Linked DNA regions of Alligator mississippiensis. The protein of the gene in region 1 interacts with the protein of each later gene in a biochemical or structural test. Links are inferred from orthologs where the notes say so. Each region holds a gene or a part of one and is shown in the gene's direction. Other genes may lie near its edges.

Region 1 (6,854 bases):
CTATTTATAATGATATTTTAATTGAGCTGTATATACTTGGATTGCATCCCTTTCTCTCAGCAGTCATGTATCACCTGTTTCCTTGGGCATCCAGCGTATGAGCTCCTCCGCACAGGCCCATCCATGCGGAGTCTTCTCGTGCAAACGAACGTGTAGCTCTGAGCCCACAAGTATAATCTGGTAGGGGAAGGGAGGGTTTGCTTGGGGGTGTTTGCACATGGGGCCTCTGGGCACCACAGTAGTAAAATATACGTGTTAAATCATAATGTCAAATTCTTGCCATTATTTCTTTGTTTTGTTCTTTACTTCCACTTTCAGATTCTCACTGTGCCAATATTTTGGGCTGCAAACACAGCAAGATGTCATTGTTTGCCTAGGATAATATTTTCCAGTGGATTATTTAAGGTTCTTTTGGCCCGGTGTTTAGCAAATGATGCTTTTCCAAAACAAGGAATTGTAGGACCCAATTTAAATGGAGAAGCATGTTCATTGCAGGATATGTCACGGGTAATTCCTACCTGCCTAGTAAGACATATGGTCCCCATCATCAGAGTCTCTGAATACCTTACTTGGCCAATGAAAAATTGATGTGAATACCCATATGCCAATAAGAAAATTCTTCACTTTGGACCTGATTCGCTTGCTTTTTCACTCATTGCTTTGCATATCCTAGATTGGTGGTTTGAAACGTGTGATCTGTAATAAGCTGATTGGTGCTGCCTCTGGCACCGTATTAACATTCCTCCACGTTTAAAACTTCATAAATTGCACTTCCACAACAGTTAAAACTATACTAACTGCTCTCCTCATCCTAACGGACCATGTAAGCAATTGCTGAAGTTGCTGCAGGGGTAGTATCTAGCTGTGAGTGGGTGGGGAGGAATGGGGTGGTGTGGGGGGGGGGGTGTGAGAGAGAAATCATGAATACGAGGGGAAGTTTCTAGGAGACAGTTCTTGTATAGTCCGTAGCGTGCAACACCTGGCTTGGATGCTAATCTGATGCCTCAAAATAAAGCCATATCCACTGGAGGCAGAAACGGTCCGTTTGGATGTCTGGTCCATCCCCGGCTAAAGCCCTTTTGCTTCCTACAGCGTAATGTTTTCTACTGCTTGCACGATCTACATTTAAGAGTCCTACGGTTTTGGACTTCTGCGTCTTATCCTAGAGAGGTTGTTCCAAACAGACACAAATCCCCTGGTCTTTCCAAGGCTTTAATTATTCATTTGTTTGTTTACTCTTGTGAAGCCTAGTTACGCTTCTTGCTTTAGACTAAATAAATCCTCTTTTTTTGTGTTGAATGAATGCTTTGGTTAGAGGTAGGTGCCCCCATGCGGACACTGATTCGTTTCATTATTCATATTTTTTTTTCTCTCAAAAGTTAGCGCCTTTAGACCACCAGCTGTTTTTGTGCGCTTCCTTTCTAGTAAAGTGTTGTCAGAACTGAAACCAATAGTAGAGGTTTGGTTTCTTTCTGAACCTTGTCAAGAAGATTCACCAAGTTCGTGGGCTGCTGCCTTGAGAACTGCAAGTCTGCTTTGTGGCTGCACCCCCCCGGACGGCCGGTTTGCTGTCAGACGAGCTCTGTCTCGACGCTACTGTTTGCAAGGTCTCTTCATCCCATTATACCCCTTAAAACCCAGGCCTAGCTTCCTTTATGTCAAGTCATTAAGATCATAAGAACGGCCATTTACTGGGTCAGACCAGAGGTGCATCGTGCCCAGTCGGTGTCCCCTCCTGGTGCACCTTTGACCTCCGCTCCCGTCCCTGGTGTGTTTTTCATCGTCCCAAGCAATTCATAGCGGCCTTCCTTTTCAAGGGAGGCTCATAGCGTTTCTTAATGGGCAGTGTCCCGTGGTAAAGCAACAGATAGACCTGTGTCACGCAGCTCCGGCTGAGAGTCTGGCTGCGTTTCCCCCCACACCTTTCCTTTTATGTACTCCCCATGCATGGTCCCACCAAGCCGCGGGATCTCTCGGTCAACCTCCTCCTGGCTCTGGCCACGCTGGTCATCTGCAAGATGAGGAAGGAGGCTGGCCGGGAAGTGCCCGGGCGAGGATGGTGCTGTTGTCCTCTCCGTCCTCTGCCCACGTCACCGCCGGCTCCCTCGACTCGTTCAGCGGGGCAGCAGGTGCTAGGATTGCCAAGAAGTCTCTAAATCCCCAGGAGACGGCTGAGAGGCACCCAGGAGATAAATAATAGGGCATTCATTAATAAACATGAAATGTTAAATTCATTAGTAAAAATGAAATGTTGCATCCGACGTATACAATAGTCCAGTGGGTTTTGAAAATGTCGTAGAAATGTGCATTTGCCTTCCCGACGCAAAGTCTACGCGCCGTAGCCCACGGCCGATAGATGCCAACACGTGGGCACGTCCGTCGGCGTTACGGAAACCTCCTGGAACAGATTCAAAGGGAGTTGGCGCCCCGAGTGGGCGCTGGCTGGCGCGCTCTGCTCTGTGTCCCCCTCCGCATCCCTGGTTTTGAACCCGTAACCCTCGTTCCCGTTCTTGGTTTCTTTTTCATTCGTCCTAAGCAACCCGTCGTTGCGTTCTCAGCGGCCTCCCTCTTTAAGGGGGCTTCTAGACGTTCACGGTGGGCCGAGGCCCGCGTTCGCTGAGCATGCCAAGAAGCCCGTGTTGCACCGAAGGCTGGGGGGAGAGTGACCCGGTCTGAGCATGGTTTCCCCTGCTCCTCTCCCCCTTGCAACCTCTGACGCGGAGCCCCTGCCCCTCGCTCCCCGCTCGGCAGCGACCGATGCCCCTTTCCTCCCAGCACGTGCCCAAGCCAGGTTGGCCATCGTAGAGGACAGCGCGGTTGTCCTTTGTCCTCTCTTGAGACGAAACCCGATGCCTTTAGGTCCTCTGTTTTTCTCTTCAAGACAAAATGGCGCCGGGTTTTGTCTCAAGAGAGGACAGAGGAGCAGAAAACCAGCCTGTCGTCTTTGACGGCCGCCCTACCGCCATGTCGGTCTAAGGCAGCGGGCCCACGCCAGCTAGGTTGGCCGTCGTGGAGGAGAGTCTGGTTGTCCTCTCTTGATACGAAACCGGACACCTTTACTTCCTCTCTTGAAAAGAAGAGAGGACGTAAACACATTGGGTTTCGTAGCAAGAGAGGACAGAGGAGCAGAAAACCGGACTGTCGTCTACGATGGCCACCCTACCGTCGGGCGGCCACCACAGAGGACAGCCCAGTTGTCCTCGGTCCTCTGTTGATATGAAACCCGACGCCGTTATGTCTTCTGTTTTTGTCTTCAAGGGAAAAACAGGGGATGTAAAGGCATCAGGTTTCGTATCACGAGAGGAGCAGGAAACCGGCCTGTCCTCCATGATGGTTGCCTAACGTTGGGCGGCCGTCATCGAGGACAGGCCCGTTGTCCGATACGAAACCCGGCAGCTTTACATCCTCAACTTTTCTGCCCCAGACACAAACAGAGGACAGCGAGGCGTGGGGTTTCGTATCGACGGAGCCGCAGAACAGCGGCCGGTCCCGTACAACAGTTGCTGCCGGATGAGAGCGCTGACACCGTGCCCGGCAGCCTTCACCCCCGGGGCTTCATGGCGCGCTGTGCTCAGATGAATGACGGGGGAAGGCCGCTTTTCATTCTCCACGCATCGTGCGCCTATTTTGGGGTGCAATGGTGAACCTCGGGCCCAGGCGCCCCCGACCACCATGCTCTGTGGCGGTTGCTAGGGCGGTTGCCAGGGCGCCATGTTGGCTGTGGGGGTCCCGCTGCCCCGCGGGCCTGTGGCGGTTGCTAGGGCGGTTGTCAGGGCGCCATGTTGGCGGGAGGGGGAGGCGCCCCGGAAGTGCTGCCCGGGCGGGGGTTTCTCTTCCGGGGCGGCCGGGCCGGACCCGGCCAGGTTAGGAGGAGGCAGGAAATGGCGGCGTCGCTGCAGCAGCAGCTGCCGGGGCCTCCCGCTCCGCCGTGCCGGGCCCAGGCCGCCTAGGAGCCGCGGCCAGCGCCGGGCCCGGGCCGGACTCCGAGCACTTTACCTACATGAGGTGAGGTGCGGCGCGGCGGGGTGAGGGGGGCGGGCAGGCAGGCGGGCGGGGGCCCGACACCGACCGCCGTAACGACCGCCCGCCGTAACGACCGACCAACCGCCCGGCCTTTCTGTTGCAGAGAGTTGGAAGCCAAAGCTACCAAAGACGTGGGGAGAAAACTACGCAGGTAAGAAACAAACCGCCCTGCTCCCGGGCCCGGGGGCGAGCGTGTGCGTGAGTGCGTGTGCGTGCGTGTGTATTTGTGTGTGCGTGCGTGCGTGTCCACACAAGATGCCGACCGCGCCGTCACGGAGTATTCGTGTGTGTGTGTGCAAAGCAACAGACACGCGTGCACCCGAGTGCGAAGGGACGGCGTCGTCGAGCAGCTGTGCGGCGGCGCCGACCCCGCGGCCGTGTGTCGCTCCCGCGCGGTGGTGTCATGTCGCGCCGCGCCGGAGCAACGAGCGACCGCGCGGTCGGTGGAGACGGATTCACACGCGCGCGAGTCCGTCGCCCGTTTCTTTTTGGGGGTTTTTTTTCCTGGAGACCGGCTGCGATGTCTGCCTGGAATCGCAAGGTCACCGGTTGCAAAAAGGTTTAAAAGAAGGGAAGGCAGAAATCCCGGGTTTAGACGGATCGGGCTCGGTCGGCTGTGTAGTCGCTCTGCACACGCGCGTGTGCAAATCATTGGTGGGAAGGGGGGGGGGGCATGGGGTTCCTGCTCCGAGGAGGAGCCCCTGGGAAGACGCAGCGCTGCAGGTCGGCTCCCCCCAAACTTGTCCAGTCGACCCCGCCTTAACGTCGATGAACCAGCCTTTCCCACGAGCTTCGTACGAGCTCTCTGCTGTGAAGCAACCCGTCATCCTCTGTATCCAGGCATCGAGGCCACGATTCTGCCCGTGACCAGTGCTGGAGATGTGCTGGGAGGCCGAGGGCACGGGAGTTTCAATATTGATGACTTAGCATGTGACGCTAAGACGCCGACACCAGGGTTGTGTATATTGCTCTTGTGAAAAGGCACGTGCCAGGTGTCCTAGTAGGACGATGTTTTTGCAGATACCTGCAACTCTGCTATCACGTTGGCACTGTCTTTCACTATATTCAGTTTTTCCTTCTTTTGGTTTTCCTCCATGCCCTCTGTAGGGCTAGTTACGATGAAGGGAGTTGCGTTGGGGAGGACTGCCTGGTTCAAAACTTGGCAAAAACTCAAGGGCAGCTGCTAGGACCGTATTTTTCAGGTCCTGTTTTTTTGGGGGTCTAGTCTATTTTGAAGTTTAAGTTAGCTTTATAACAACACTGGAAATTGAAGTTTCCTGTCCCTTGAGTATATCTTTTTTTTTTTTGGTAGCACCATACTCAAGAGCTGGCCTTTTGTTTAACTGTTAAATGCTATTTTATTTGGGGTGGGGTTACAATAGAATTGAATTAAGGTGCAGTTTGTATAGAAGCCTGAAAATAAAGGTAATAGGATCCTTCAGAAAATACTTTAGGGTCATTTTCAAATTGAAGGGAACAATTCTTAATCGCAGCTTAAAAACCATTTGTCTGTATACAAAATTAAAGTACGCCTAGAAAGAATGTAAATAAACTAAAACATAAGCGTTCCCTTTATGGAAAGAATACCCAGTCTATATGGTGTTAAATATTTGCTGACACGCCTGGTTTGGCTGGAAGAGCAAAGTGTTGGTTGAAGATGCACTGAAATATAATTAGTCACCAAAATGTGAAAGTCCACCAGTGCATTAAGAGAATTGTCCTAATACTTTTTGGAAAGTTTTAATTCAAGTAGTTGCCCACATCCTCTGCAGTGTTTGAATTCAGTTGCCTTGGCATTGCACAAAACTTTCAGCAAGATCTCTTTTGAAGTGAAAAGAAAATGCAGCTTATAATTGTAAGATTGTGCCAGGAACTGCTTACAAAGCAAGAAGGTGGTGGGGGGGGACAATACCTGCATGGAGCGGAGAGGAGGAGGAGGAGCAGTCCTGGTGCCAAGAGTAGATTCTGCGATGGAGGAAAGCTGCTGCTGCTGCTGCTGCGTGTCACTCTTCTGAGGGCGCTGGCAGCAGCCAGGAGGGATGAGGAGCAGGGTCCTAGCACTTGGGAGAGGAGCATGAAGCTTTTGAATGAAGAACAACGGAACGAGCGGATTAGGAAGGAAATCATAGATGCCACTCCAGCCCCCCTCAAAGTCTCAACATTTCAGTAATAGCCATTCTGTTGTTAATAGTTGTCAGTTTTTTAATACTAATAGGCCACTTGTCCTGTTGCCAAGTAACTTGTAACTATCAGCAGTTTATTCCTGATGACTGTAACCCAGGGATTTGAAACTTCAAGTTCTCGATAAGGATCTTAATTTCCAATCTTCATCCTCTTCAGAACGTTCCATCTTAAGGAGCTAAATACTACATGCTAATATTCAGTTAAACATGGGCCCCCATCTTAATTGCAAACTGTAAGTGGTACCACGTTACAAATAATATCTCAGAAGCGTGACACCTTGTTTTGATAATGCTAGTGATATGGCGCACATGCTGGCACCTTCTACAGGGGAAAAATGTGAAAGATCAGTGCTTGCCAAACAGCAGTGATAGAGAAACTGAATTAAATTACAGCCTGCAAGGAGGTATTACAAAGAGCCAACAGTTTTAAATAATGAGGAATTGTTAATTTGTATATTTAAATAGCACTTACATTTTGGATTGCCTATACCGCCCTTTAAAATATTTCCTTATCAGTACTTTAGACTTGTATACAAAGCTTCTAAAATAAGATATACTTATGGTTCCTTATTTATTAGTGCTAGAACTTTTTGCACCTGGTAATATACAGGTCTTTCAAAGCAGCGTTCCCTTTAAGGCCTCCATATG
Region 2 (7,332 bases), on another chromosome or scaffold:
TTAGTGTGGGTGTGCATGTGCTCGCAGACACACACCGATGAGATTTCCTCTCCCTCTTCCTCTTGCCACCTGGCTCTTCAGCTCCATGTCAGAGGTCCTCTCTTGTTTGGCCTTGTAGCGTTCTGGAGCCCTGAAGTTATTTGATCTGTTCCAGCTATAGAAAAACACAAATTTAGTAGTGACCGTAATAAGCAAAAATAGTAACAGGTCTTCATAGTTAAACACATTTTGGGGGCCTGGCCACAGGAGTTACTATTGTCCTTTGTATTTTGATACAAGGCCCTGGCAGCCATGAGGGAGAAGGACGAAGGGGATGCCTCCAGTGGGGACGATGCCACTCCACGCACAACACAGATGGTGCAGAGAGGGAACATCAGGAGAAGGAAACGCCAGGTCCTCGTCATTGGGGACTCCATCCTAAGGGGAGTGGATGGTCCCATCTGCCGACCCAACCCCGTGGCATGAGAGGTCTGCTTCATGCCTGGAGCTCAGATTCAGGACATCAGAGAGAGGACCCCAGCCTACATTCGACCGTCAGACCAGTACCCCATGGTTCTCATCCACGTGGGAACAAATGACGCGGACAGAGGCAACCCAGACTGCATCATGAAGGACTTCGAGGCCCTGGGGGCTAAGCTGAAGGAGATGACACCAAGATTTGGGGTGAGAAGGGAAGAAGGGAAGGACAGGTTCCTCCTTGTCCTTAAGCAGGAGGAACTTGCCCTCCAGATAGCTAGTTCAAACCTGGACATAGCGGGGCTCACAGAAACCTGGTGGGATTCATCCCATGACTGGGCAGTCAACATTAGGGTCTATAGGCTATACAGGTGGGATAGAATGGGGAGGAAAGGCGGGGGTGTGGTGCTCTACGTCGAAGAGCAATACACATCCTCTACCAGCAGGATGGGGTCCGAGGAGGGGCAGGCTGAAGTGCTCTGGGTCAGAATACAGGGGGGTTGTGAGGAAAGGGACTTAATGGTGGGGGTCTACTATGCACCTCCCAACCAAGGGGAAGAGCTGGACCATGAATTCTCGGGCCAGCTTGCGGAGGCACTTAAGGCAAGGGATGTAGTCATCATGGGTGATCTAAATTACACGGACATCTGCTGGGAGGAGCAGTCAGCCAGGTCTGACTGCTCACGGAGGTTCCTGGCCAAGATACAGGACCTCCACTTAACCCAGGAGGTACACAGTCCCACCAGGGGGAATGCCCTCCTGGATCTGGTTCTGGCCACAGGCAATGACCTGGTGAGGGGACTCCAGGTCCTCGACCACCTGGGCGATAGCAATCATCGCTTGCTGGAATTCACCATCCAGCGCAGGATGTCAAGGGCCTGCAGTAAGGCAGTAGCCTTGACTTCAAGAGGGCCAACTTCAATGAGCTAAGGAGATTAGTGAGGGAGGCACTAGGGTCCTGGAGAGTAGGGGAATTGGGTGCCCAAGATGAGTGGTCGTTCCTTAAGGAGATGATACTCAGAGCCCAAGGGGTGACAATCCTAACAAGAAGCAAGGGGCGCAAGAGTGCCCAAAAGCCCCCCTGGCTCACCAAGGGCATTTGTGAATGCCTGATTGCCAAAAAGGAGGCGTACACCCAGTGGAAGGGAGGGGCTATCACCAAAGAGGAGTATACCTCCACCGCTTGGTTCTGTAGGGGGGCTGTTAAGAAAGCTAAGGCAAATACGGAACTAGGGCTAGCATCAAGGATCAAGGACAACGAAAAGTCCTTTTTTAAATACATAGAATGAAGAAGGCCCCGGGTAATGTGGGGCTGCTGCAGGACTAGGCAATCTGGTGGTTGCACCAGAGGAGAAAGCAGACCTGTTTAACAATTTCTTCACCTCTATTTTCTTGTGCAGGGACTGGGACTCCCTTACTGAGATTCAGGATGGACTCAGGAGGGACTCTGACAGGCCTAGGGTCAGGGAAGACCAAGTTAGGGAACTTCTGGAGGGGCTGGACGTGTTCAAATCAGCAGGTCCAGATGCTCTCCACCCCAGGGTGCTGAGGGAATTGGCAGGGGTTATCACGGGGCCCCTGGCACGGCTTTATGAGCACTTGTGGTGCTCTGGCCAGGTGCCGGATGACTGGAAGAGGGCCAATGTGGTCCCCATCTTTAAAAAAAGGAAGAGGGAGGACCCAGGCAACTATAGGCCTGTTAGTCTTACTTCAATCCTGGGGAAGCTTTTTGAGAAGATTATCCAGGAGCACATCCGTGATGGGCCAGCAGTGGGGATGATGTTCAAGGCGAACCAGCATGGGTTCACTAGAGGCAGGTTCTGTCAGACCAACCTGGTTGCCTTCTATGATCAGGTCACAAAATCATTGGACGCAGGTGTCGCCGTGGACATAGTCTTTCTGGACTTCAGGAAGGCCTTTGACACACTCTCCCATCCCATCCTCATTAAACAGCTAGGTGACTGTGGCATTGATGCCTACACAGTCAGATGGGTCGCAAATTGGCTGAGGGGTCATACTCTGAGAGTGGTGGTGGACGGGTCATATTTGACCTGGAGGGAAGTAGGCAGTGGGGTCCCCCAGGGCTCCGTCCTTGGGCCTGCACTGTTCAGTATCTTTATTAGTGACTTGGACGAGGGGGTGAAGAGCAGCCTGTTTAAATTCGCAGACGACACCAAGATTTGGGGTGAGAAGGGAAGAAGGGAAGGACAGATTACAGCAGGACCTGGACAGGTTACAGGGGTGGGCAAATGAAAATAGGATGGGACTCAATACTGACAAGTGCAAGGTGCTGCACTTGGGCAGTGGGAACCAGCAGCAGACCTACAGGCTGGGGAACTCCCTTCTTGCCAGCACAGTGGCAGGAAGAGATCTTGGAGTCATTATTGATTCCAGGATGAACATGGGCTGCCAATGCGAGAACAGTCAGTAGGGCTAACCGTACCTTGTCGTGTATCCACAGATGCATCTCGAGCAGGTCCAAGGAGGTGATCCTCCCCCTCTACGCGACACTGGTCAGGTCCCAGTTGGAGTACTGCGTCCAGTTCTGGGAGCCGCACTTCAGGAGGGATGTGGACAGCATGGAGAGGGTCCAGAGGAGGCCACCCGCATGATCAGGGGGCAGCAGGGCAGGCCCTACAAGGAGAGGCTACGGGGCCTGAACCTGTTCAGCCTCCACAAGAGAAGGCTGAGAGGGATCTGGTGACCATCTATAAACTTACCAGGGGGGACCAGCGGGGTTTTGGAGAGACCTTGTTCCCCTGAGCACCTCCCAGAGTAACAAGGAATAACGGCCATAAGTTGCTAGAGAGTAGATTCAGATTAGACATCCGAAGACGCTAGTTCACTGTCAGGGCGGCTAGGATCTGGAACCAACTGCCAAGGGAAGCGGTGCTGGCTCCTACCCTGGGGGGCTTTAGGAGGAAGCTTGATGTTTACCCGGCTGGGGCCATTTGAGCCCAGTTCTCTCTCCTGCCCAGGGAAGGGGTCAGCCTAGGTCTACAAAGTCTCTTCCAACCCTACATCTATGAGTCTATGATATTGGGTGTTGTATGTATATATTTTATATTTGTTGCTCTGTGTGTGTGTGTGTGTATATGTGCGTGTAATATTTGTTATATATCTATATCTATAGATATATATATTTGTTGTGTGTGTACATGTATAATATATATATATATAAAACGCATCGTTGTGTACGTACATTTCATACGTGTTGTTGCGGCAGTGAAGTTGCTGCAGCAGCCCGGGCCAGCACTACTCCAGTCTTTTGTCCTTTGCTCGTTTGTAACCGAGAGGCCACCTTCACGTTTCCGCACGTACCGCAGAGACGCCCCGGGCCGCGCCCCTGCCCCTGCCCCTGCCCCGGAGAGCGGGGTGCGCGCGGGGCGAGGCGGAGGGGCCGTGGCCGTGGGCGCAGCGCGGTCGCAAGCCCGGGCACGCAGATCCGGCGGCCCCCGCGAGGGGGTTAAGGAGCAGAGGCAGGCCCAGCACACCCCCTGGAGGAGGCGGCGCCGGCTGCTCGCCTGAGCCAGCACGACCTGAGGCAGCGGAGACGGGAAGTGGAGGCGGGAGAGGCCGGGCCGCGAGGAGCGACGTGCCCCGTGTGCGGCTCCACGGCAGCGAGCTCCAGCCCGGGGGGGCCGCCCCCCTTCCCGCTCCCCCCGCCAGTGACAAGGCGGGGCCCCGCGCCCGCCCTCCACGTGGCTCCCACCCGCCCCCTGCGCGCCGGACTGAGGGGCCGTTTCCCGCCGGCGGGGCGGGGCGGGGCTCCACGTGACCAGGCGGCTCCTCCCCTCGTCGGCCCCGCCCCCTCCGCGGCCTCCACGTGACCAGGCGGCTCCTCCCCCTCCGCGGCCCCGCCGACCCGCCCGGCTCCCGGCTCCCGGCTCGGCTCGGCTCGGCTCCGCTGACCCGGACAGAGTGAGGCGCCGCGCCCCGCCGCGCCGCGCACGGAGACATGTACCCGGGAGCCGCCGCCGCCGCCGCCGGGCCGGGTGAGTCCGCCCGCCCGCCCGCCCGGGCCTGGCGGGGCCTCCGCAATGGCCGCGCGCGTGAGGGAGGGAGACAGGGGGGTGGGGGCAGGGCAGGGCAGGGCAGGCCGCCGCCGCCGCCTGAGGGAGGCCCCTGCGGGCCTGGCGGAGCAGGGGGAGGCGTGGGCCGAGCCGGCGGGTCCCCCGCGCTCCGTGGGGGCGGAGCGGGGTCCCGGGCCGGGCGGGGGGGGTGCTCGGCTCCTCCCCGCTGCCGCAGCTGGAGGCGGCTTCGCCCCCTGCCGCCCTCACCGGCTCCTGCGCTGCTGGGGGTGGGCGCAGGGAGGATGGGGGGGCGAGGGCGTCCCTCCTGGGGCAAGGCCCTCCTGCCCTCCCTTCCCGGGCGCAGGGTCCAAGGCGCGCGCCCCTCGGGGCAGAGGTTGCTGCTGCGCGTCTGCCCGCGCTGCGGCGGGGACACGGCTCCTACGCCTCGTATTAAAAAAAAGAAAAAATGCCTGTGAGCTGGGCTGGCGGCGAGCCGGGCAGTGCCACCCCGATGCTGGACGCCAGCGTCGCCACATCTTGGTTAGTGTGTGCTCGCCGCAGTCCGACCTGTGAGACGTTGCAGCCGCCGTATCGACGTCCGTGTCGTTACCTGACTTCTCAAACCCCGTCGCTCGTCTGGCCTCTCGGGCCGTGCCGCTCAGATTGGCGTGGCGTTATCCTTCTGCCATGTTCATCTCTCTCGCTTCACCGGGGTTGTCTGGGTTTCTCGGAGCAACGTAAAAATACATTGATTTCACGAGAGACTACGTTTTGGTTGATACTAAACGTGAAAATTTAGTCTTGGGTTGAGAGAGAGAGAATCTTTAATTAAGGAAGTGTGAACAAGAGGCGTCAGTCAGTCTTAATGTTCATCTCAATGTTTTCCTAATCTCTTCTGGGGGGGAAAAAAAAAGAAGGAAAAGCTTGTTGTGAAGAGGGACTTTAATTTCTGTCGTCTTTTCACAGTGATGTGCTCTTAACTTTATAAGAGTACAGTTATTTGGCAAAGTCTGAAACTACTTTGTCATCTCGTACTCATTTTTCTTGCACCAGTATTGTATGTGGGCTATGGTTTTTATCTATACTGGTTTACAAATTTACCTTGACACAAAAAAGATAAAACATTTGTAGACATCTGCTGACTGAAGCCATTGGACTATAGTGCAGTTTTAAATAAAACGCTGAATACTTTTAGATTAATTAATAATAAAACATGTAGCTAGTTTAATGCCTGAATTTAGTGATAGTTTTACTCTTTTTAGGGTGCCCTGATACCTCCTAAAAAGCCCTTAAAAACAAATTGTAAAACTTACACAATGTATGGGTTGTTTTTCCTCTTGCTTTCTACTTTTCACCTGAGCCTCTTGTTCCCTGTTGGTGATGCGCTGTTTGAAGAGAAGAGTCTGATTTTTATAACAGGCTTTGCTTGCAGAAGAAAAAAGAATGGATGAACTTTATGCTTTTATTACTTCCAAATATGAAAAAATCAGTTTTACCAAGTTCTCTCTTATGAGTCACTGTGTTTCTAGGAGTATAAAAAACTAAGTTATTACCGTTCATTTGCTAGTAACAGAGCTATAATAATGCCTAAAAGGGTTGCTTTTTTCTGCTATTATTTTAATCTATTTGCAGCTTGGTGATATACCTTAGGGGTTCTCATGTTTGCTTTTCAACTCATGTAAATGTCTTCAACAGTTCAAGTTTTTTAGTGTGTTGGTGTGACTGGTCAGAATCTGGTTTTATATCCTAATTCAGATGAGGCGTAGAATCCAGATCATTCAGTTTGCGGTTTGCACTCAGTAGTAGATTAAGGAATGAAAGACAAGCTGTTTGCTGCAGCTATTACTTCAGAAGGTGCTGCTTTGATCCACTGGTCCTGCACAGCGGATCAGAGAAATGATATCTTTTGGAGTAAGAATGACAGCAAAATATTGGAATATCTCTGCAGTCTGTTTTCTTTGCACGGAGTGATAAACATGCATAATGTTGACAAGCTTGAAATATTTAGAGTTGAAAACAGCATGTTGCCCATGCCTCCGCAGCCCCAGAACAAGGCTTCATTTTATTTCAAGGAGAGCTCTTGGTGTCCGTTTTTCGTATAGTATGAGAGACATCTAGTCAACCACAGCACTTACTGGCTGAGGAGTGCACCGGAGCAGTCCATGGCCCCTCACGGTGCAGAGATGGATACCCGATGGCCTTTTTTGTTTAGAATTCGAAGTGATTGAGAATGGAGAAAATGGGTGTCTTTGACTTGAGAGTCAAAGCTTTTACCTGGATGGACTAGCATGGGATGATGATGCTGGTTCTCATCTTCTAATTCTAATAGACAGATTTGCCTGACCTGGAATTAAACTATTTCTTCTGAGAGTGTCAGGATTGTTGAGCTTGCCCCTAAATAGTGTCAACTGTCTTGTCTTTTCATATCCATTGCAGAATTTGCATTGCTTTATCTAAAGAACAAATTGCATTGAGAACTTCAGTAGTGCCAGGTGTAAATGAGGAAGTGACAGATATAATGGCTATTCTGTGTCTCAGTTTGTGTTATGATAGTTTTAAATTTGTTACTATAGTAATATACAGCACTGTTTAAAGTTTATATTGCGAACTTGTTTTTTCCTGTAGTGTATGTGTTAATATTGTCAACACCTGTACTATATTTTTTCAACAGTCTGTATAGCCTTAGGGACAGCTCGAAGTATGAAGTAGTTGCTATAGCGCAAACTCAGCTGACCTGTGTATGCCAGACTTGCTGTTATATTCATGTATGCTTTAGTGCAGCCTTCTTGAATAACAGTGAGAATTCCCTGCACAGAAAAATCTATGACTGGGTGCTAGATAAGATTGCAGTGACAAGGGACCT

What was found.
Region 2: the proteins of TNRC6A (region 1) and AGO2 form a complex in vitro, tested with the Homo sapiens proteins (2 studies listed by BioGRID). The link is inferred for Alligator mississippiensis from reciprocal best matches to the Homo sapiens genes TNRC6A and AGO2.

Annotation. Positions count from the first base shown.
Region 1 is NC_081836.1:58,591,894-58,598,747, forward strand, and holds the start of TNRC6A (trinucleotide repeat-containing gene 6A protein), read left to right. Parts: upstream 1-3,853; 5' UTR 3,854-4,000; coding exon 4,001-4,005; intron 4,006-4,126; coding exon 4,127-4,174; intron 4,175-6,854.
Region 2 is NC_081826.1:7,731,151-7,738,482, forward strand, and holds the start of AGO2 (protein argonaute-2), read left to right. Parts: upstream 1-4,317; 5' UTR 4,318-4,414; coding exon 4,415-4,451; intron 4,452-7,332.